Linked DNA regions of Nothobranchius furzeri. The protein of the gene in region 2 interacts with the protein of the main gene of each other region in a biochemical or structural test. Links are inferred from orthologs where the notes say so. Each region holds a gene or a part of one and is shown on either strand. Other genes may lie near its edges.

Evidence for each region.
Region 1: the proteins of ep300a (region 2) and maml1 form a complex in vitro, tested with the Homo sapiens proteins (2 studies listed by BioGRID). The link is inferred for Nothobranchius furzeri from reciprocal best matches to the Homo sapiens genes EP300 and MAML1.

What each region holds. Positions count from the first base shown.
Region 1 is NC_091741.1:65,499,916-65,503,572, reverse strand, and holds part of maml1 (mastermind-like protein 1), read right to left. Parts: coding exon 3,063-3,657; intron 2,619-3,062; coding exon 2,394-2,618; intron 2,076-2,393; coding exon 1,937-2,075; intron 1-1,936. UniProt on the Homo sapiens protein: Acts as a transcriptional coactivator for NOTCH proteins. Has been shown to amplify NOTCH-induced transcription of HES1. Enhances phosphorylation and proteolytic turnover of the NOTCH intracellular domain in the nucleus through interaction with CDK8.
Region 2 is NC_091756.1:27,967,165-27,970,821, forward strand, and holds part of ep300a (histone acetyltransferase p300), read right to left. Parts: intron 3,551-3,657; coding exon 3,476-3,550; intron 182-3,475; coding exon 96-181; intron 1-95. UniProt on the Homo sapiens protein: Functions as a histone acetyltransferase and regulates transcription via chromatin remodeling. Acetylates all four core histones in nucleosomes. Histone acetylation gives an epigenetic tag for transcriptional activation.

The DNA of each region.
Region 1 (3,657 bases), on a different chromosome or scaffold from region 2:
TCCCAGTTTCTGTCCCGTGAGGTGAAAAATTTCAAACCGGTTTGAATTTCACCTCAGGCAGAAAAGACTGAAAATCAGGCACACACAGCGAGCCATCTGCTGAGCAAGCGGCCTCGAATGACTGTCAGCTCAGCAGTTTGCTCTCGTGTGAGGCAGCCCTAATATGGCATCGCCCAGAGATGTAGACCTGCTCCCATGTATTTTGTTTCCAATTTTTATGGTTATATGTTATGAATCCACCAATATTGTAATTTTATTCATTATCAACAAGATTTCGATAATGAATATATATAGTGTATATATAAATATATATATAATTTTAATAACTAGCATATTTAACCTATGACTCATGATTTAAAGATTTTGTGAAATGCCTTGAAATGACTCGTGATTTGGCACTATACAAATAAACTTGAATTGAATTATAGACTAAGGATCCCACAACCTGGCCCTGGATAAGTGGAGGAAAACAGATGGATGGAGATTTAACAATGTATCACCAAACTAGATGGTTTTGAAAAGAACTGAAATGGATCAGGTGAAGTCACATTTGAGTTGTCCAGTAGTCAGGTTCTAAATAAAACCCAGACGTACTGAAGATATACGTGTTATCTTGACTTGGTGATAGTCTTTCTGCCCAGTTTACATTGTCTTGTTTTCATCACATCAACCTTGCTGAATCCATATTGTTACCAAATGATTGATGCACGTTTTTGGAAACAAGCTTCTCCACGACTAAACCTATGTCAGTTGTAGCCCGCTGATCAACGCTCTCGGCTGACCATCAATAACTGCGGCTGGCTGCAGAGTGTTGCGGACCAAGCGGCGAGCGTCATTGAGAAGAGAACTGTTACAAGATTTGGGCAGCTACGAGCAGCCGTGGTCCACAAGTATTGAGAGAATCAGAACTATGAGCTGCAAGCAGCCCACTGCTTCCATATTTAATTCGTTCTCCATTTCCTCATTTTGCTTTTCTTGTTACAGACTCGATGGGTTGGAGTCACATGACTATGTGACTGGCTGTGACGTGTACCCCACTGGTCTGTGTCGCAGCTTCTTAAAAGGGACATGGACATCAGCAACTGACTCACATTTATAAATAAATGACGTTGGTAAGAGTTATACATTTGCGTAACGGTAAATTTTCGCTTTACCACCCAGCCTTAAGCCTGGTTTATGCTTCTCCGTCAGCTCCGCAAGGGACAGACACGCACGGACTGACGGAAGCGTTTTGCTCTTGTACTTCTCCGTCTCCTGGAGAGTGTTGCAAAGCAATTGCCCTGCAGGACAACAGAGGGCGTAGCGCTGTTCTGTGGTTTCCTGTCATGCATCGGTCCAAGATCGTGTGTTTATATTGTGTTTTTTGTGTATATAAGTGACTTTTAACAGGGACATATTTGTCTCTCATTCTCCCACCCCTTCATGCGCTCCCCACCTCTAAACCCACGTTTCCTGTCATTTCCGTCCACAAATAAAATGCTTGCTGCGCATCTTTTCACTCCTCCAGTCACGGGAGAATTAAACGTTCATATTTTTAGAGTTTTTTCGCGAGGTATTCTTCAAGCTTCTCCGTGTCTGCCGCTAGTTTTCCTCGGCTCTCTTTGCAATGGCGGCGCTGTAAACAACAGCGGCATCCTGACCAATCACAAGCTTGCGTAATCCGTCTCGTTCGACGGATGTTTAAAAAAGTGGGCTCGACTCCGTACGTACTTGCGTGCCCTACGCAAGTACGGATAATGGCGTTGCGTGTCTCCGCACTGACGCAGACGGAGAAGCATAAATCAGGCTTTAGTCTACACCGTCCTCTGGTATGTTAGGCTGATGCGGAAAATCTCCAAGCAGGATAGAACATTTATTCCTGCAGCTCCATATCCAATTATAAGAGATACTCTGGCATGTTCTCACTAAACACGCAAGCATGAAAACTTTTTCTCACCTGTAAACTGACTGACTGGCTGCTGTGGAAAAGGATTCTGATTGGCTGGTGGTCCTGGCTGGTCCTGGTACTGTGGGGGAGGTCGGGTCAGGTGTCGCTGCAGCTGCTGTTGCTGCTGCTCCTGTTGACGCTGCTTCTCCTGTAAAGGGTTCATGAGTCAGGATCATGAATGATTTACAGCACACCAATAAACTACAAAAAACATCTTAGAACAGAGAAACTTGAGTTAAAAAAGAACCACAAGCAACCATAAAAGAAGGATTGCTGCTTGGGTGGATAAGGGGAAAAAAAACGTGGCATGATGGGAAAAGTGAACAAGCTTCTGATGGCTCCAGCTGCCTCAGCAGACACTCTGGTCAGATCTCCAATGAGGGCCAGCTCCCCCTGGTGTCTGAGGTTAAAAGTCAGCTCAGAAACCTCACAGTAAGCACAAAGTGGAATCACAGGTGAGTCTCACCTGTTCAGCCATGAGCTGCCTCTGCACATACTGCTGCTCCAACATTTGATGCTGCTGCTGCTTCAGTGCTGCTGCCATTGCTGCCTGTTTGTTTGAGTACACAGCGTTATTACGTTTAATGGACAAGGCGTTCACTCCCTGCGGCGCCACCATGTTATTGGGCCCAGGCGTCATGGTGTTGACAGGGCCTGTGCCGTGTGGAGGGGCAGGGTAGGTGTTCTGGTCCTGTAACAAAACAAAAAAAAAAGATAGAAAGAAAAATGTAATCACCTTTAGACAAATACTTCTCTCACCTGTAAACTGACTGACTGGCAGCTGTGCTTATTCAATCAGAATAAAGATATCAGAAGTCTCCTGACTACACAGCAACACTCGTAGAAGGAGAAAAAGTCATCTTTAAAACTTATTGGGGGATTTTTAGTACAAGGGATAAATATTCAATATCCAAGTACAGTTCTCTCAAATAGCTGAACTCCTGATTATCTCTAAACAGTTGATCAGTCTGCCTAAATATGGCCTAGGACAGATTATAGCGTGAGACTGTAGAACAAAGCCTAACCTCTGTGTGTGTGTGTGTGTGTGTGTGTGTGTGTGTGTGTGTGTGTGTGTGTGTGTGCGTGTGTGTGTGTGTGTGTGTGTGCGCGTGTGTGTGTGTGTGTGTGTACATACCTGTGAGTGTGGTATGTGCTGAAGGAAGTTTATACCGTTGGGTTTGGATTGTGGTTGCTGTGGGCGCACCAGACCGAGGGTCTTGTCTTGGTTCTGAGCGTTGGGGGCTCTCGGTGGACCCGGTCCTGCCTCGTAGTGCGACAGAGGTCTAGTGTTGTGGAAGTTCAGGGACACCTGAGTACCTTGTCCTGAGGGGTGGCTAAGTGGGTGTCCTGAGGTCAGGGAACCAAGCATGTTGGGGTGCCCGGTAGACCCCTGCATGCAGCTGCCTGCGCCAGACTTCGGCGAGCCTTTGTTGGGCTGAGAGGGCATCAGCAACTGCTTTGAGGAGTTAGAAGTGAAGTCAGGAGGATACAGGGAGGGGCTCTGGGAGCTGTTGGACATCTGGGGCCAGGGAGGGGGGTTGTGGAACTTGGTCCCCATCTGGGGCTGTTTGTGCTGCTGGGCTCTCTGGTTCTGGGCTGCCATCTGTTTCAGCTGCTGCGCCCGGGATACGTCTTTGGTAACCAGGGGACCCGGAGGCATGAGGTGGTTCAGTGGAGGCTGCAGTGGCCTAGAAGGAGGAGCTAATGGGGATGGTTGCACAACTGGAGAG
Region 2 (3,657 bases):
TGGAGCTTTTTAACTCCAAGCCGGTGTTTAAACTACTAATAACCCTAAAATACTTTTATAAAATTTAAAAACATTCCAGTGTGCCAAGTACTGACCTGGTTGCCAGGTGCTCCCATGGGCAGAGGCGGTGTGGACCTCTGAGCCATAGATTGCATCCCCATCTGATTGAACTGGTTCATACCTAAGAAGATAGCCAGAGCATCATGAGGATTGAGGAGCGCACCATTCTTGCTAAATTGGGAATCGGTGTTTCATCATTGATGACTGAGATCACAGTTCTCTTTAAATTACACCCACATTAATAACAAGTTGTCTGGACTGCACATTCAAGAAAGAAATTACTAATAAAAACCAACACTTATTTACTTTAGACCTCTTACATGTTATCACTTCAAATGCACAGACTGATAATAAACTAAACACCGAGTGTGTGTTCTTCCTGCCCAGTAGCAACACCTCTGATCACGATTAAGATTTCAGGCGTGTTTAATGTCCATCCTGAACCTCACAGTGTTTAGCATCGTTCTCAGCATTTCTTCACCTGACGGTGTGATCGTCTTCTTTCCTGTCATTTATGTATTTAGCGGACGCTTTTGTCCAAAGCCACTTACAGTGTGATCTGTTAATTCAGGTGCTGGTGCAGGAGATAGGTGTAGGAGACTATTTTCATGTTCAGCCTGCATGAAAACCCGAGTGATTGATTATCAGAAATAATCACTAAAAATGTTTTTTCAGTGAACCACACCTTTAATTATACTTGCCTAATAGGCTTTTTTGAGTTTCTGTAAAAAGACAAAAAGGTTCAACTGTCGACAGCTGGTCAGGGTAAGCACTGAAGGATGGAGACACCTTCATGAATTAAAATGCTAAATTCCTACTAGTGTAGCTGTCATTATGAATATTACTTATTACTTAAATATAATTTCTATTTATTCGTATCCTTTGAATTTTCATCAGTAAGAATATTATTTGGACAATGATGAATTATACAGTTGCTAAGTAGAACAGGAATCACAGAGTGGTGTAGTTGATTAAATATTAAAATGGCTTGCAGTACAGGCTTGTTGTATTCAGATTTGGGGGAAACGTAGAACAACACAATATGAACCGTTGTTCACTGGATTGTTCTAATATTACTGTTAAATCAGTTCAGTCACTAACGCGAGTCAAACCGGTTAGTCCTTGCAACCCTACTGCAGCTGCAGTCACCTCTTTGTGAATTTCCCCCGGATTATTGAATGGATTTTGAAAATAAATAAACATTTGAAAAATATCCGTCTGTGTGTAATAAATTAATCTAACAACTTTTACTTCTTGAATGGAATTACTGAAATAAATCATCTTTGTCACGTGCTGCTCATGTGTAGGTGAATTTAATCATACAGTTTGGTTGGACCCACACAAAATAGATTAATTTCTGAAGAATCTACAGAGGATTATGCTGTACCTGAGACATTATTATTGTCTAAGCAATATTTAACATAGAAGAACAAACTGCCTCATTTTGACGCCAACTTTTCTGATTTTAACAGTTGAGGTAAAGTATTGGGATACACCAGGTTTGGGACATCATTTATAAAACTTTGCAAAGAATACTTACTCTACTTTAGACTAGCACTACTTTAAGCACGGCTCCACTCTGTTTCTGCTTTAAAAATCACAGCTGTCCAACAAATGTGCTCAGGTGTTTGTCGACTACATCCTGCCTCTACACACCCACTCTCTAATAATAAATGGACAATGTAAGCTGCATGATGAATTTTGTGCATATAAATAAACATGCTTATTGACAGGATGTCACAGGTAACCATGACAACCAAGATGGAAATCCAGGCTCTGGGGCGTGATGTAGGCACAAAAAAAATTGTTTTATTCCCTTCGAGTGGCTCTGCGCTGCTACAGCGGTGAGCTGTGGAGCCGCAGAGCAATCAGTGAATATCAATAATTAAATAAATGAAAGCATTTTAAAAAGTGGTCAGATGAGATGGCAATAATCATTGATACTATCAATAAAAGCAGCACTATGGTGTGCAGGGAGGGATCGCTGTCTTTTCCAGATGTAACAGGAACATTTAATGAAAACATTTCAGGCGAGACTAGGTTGTTTTGGCTTACGTTTAGCACCCCCTAGTGTCCTTTTGTGGAATCGAAAGCAAAACCTATCTCCTCGCTGTGCGTTCGTCTTTTTAACACCTTAATCTAACAACAAACATCTCCCCAGCCTTCCTCAGTGTCTACAGGAGTGGTTCATCACTAAATCAAACAAATCACTTGTGCTCCTGATCTAAAACATACTGGAACCAGGCTGCAGCGACAGGTATGTAAGCTCAAATTTTTTCTAAGTCCAGCAGACCGGACTGGCACTCTGAAGTTGCAAATGTGAAATTCTGGCCACAGAGGGCGGTGGGGGTCTGAGTGACATTTCATTAACCCTATTAAGGGTAATTTTAGCACATACTGGCTCAAGAAAATGCAAATAAATAATTATTGATTGTTATTTGTTAATAAAAAATATTGGGTTGCACAGTACGCAGGGTTTCCCCCAGCGCTGTATAAGCCTGGCGGCCAGCCAGGCTAAGCGTCATGCCCCGCCCCCCTCCCCGACCCTACCGTGTCCGCTGACACGAACGGCGCAACGAAACTAGAGCCCTCCATCAGCTGATACTGGTGAGAAACAGCAGGGGAACGTGTGCAACCATCAACTCATCAAGCGAATGCCAAGAGTGTGCAAAGCAGTAATCAGAGCAAAGGGTGGCAGTTTTGAAGGAAATAGAACATAAAACATGTTTTCAGTTATTTTACCTTTTTGGGCTAAGTACATAACTCCACATCTCCCAATGTAAATGGTCATGAAAATAAAGACAACACATTGAATGAGACAGGTGTGTCCAAACTTTTGGCCTTTAATGTATGTGGCAGAGGATATTTCTGAATTTCAGGAAAGAACCGCCCTCACCACTTTTTTAAAAAATGCACATGAGAGAGAACGCCCAGTTATCCTCGTGCACGCTCTGTTTACGCTGCCGGTCTTGCGGGGGGGGGGGGGGGGGGGGGGGGGGTTCCACCAAATGTAGGAGTGGGTGGGGGGCCCCACCGTGACAGTGCCAGAATGCCAGTCCACCCCCGTGTCCGACCAGTAAACAGATTCTGATCAGTAATAATTAGCAAGATACTTGCTTTGAGGTTGAAATAAACTAGAATGAAAATTGTTTCAGATTTAAAATCTGCTATTGTTAGAGTAAATTAGTTTTGTTGTAGCGATGGTGAGTTCACAGACTTGAAGACAATCATTCCAGCTTGGCAAATGCTGTGTTTATTCCTTCATTATTTATTTATTCATTCATCAAAACAACTACAGAATTTGTAATCGGCCTGATTAAGCTGATCATGCTGTTTATGGGCAGGTTCTGATCAGCAGCTGAGTTTTTGGAGCATTTCTAGAACAATAGTCTTAAGTTCAGAACAGATTCTGTACCTGGGCCTGGCATCCTGGGAACCATCGGATTGGGTCCAGGAGGACGCACCATTGACGGGTCAGGGAGTGGGCCGTCTAAACCGGACAGACAGACAGAAAAACACTCATCAGTGAACACAACAAGAAAGGTGCATCAAGCATGACTGAAACATTCAAGACCTGGGATCCCTTCGCATAATCAA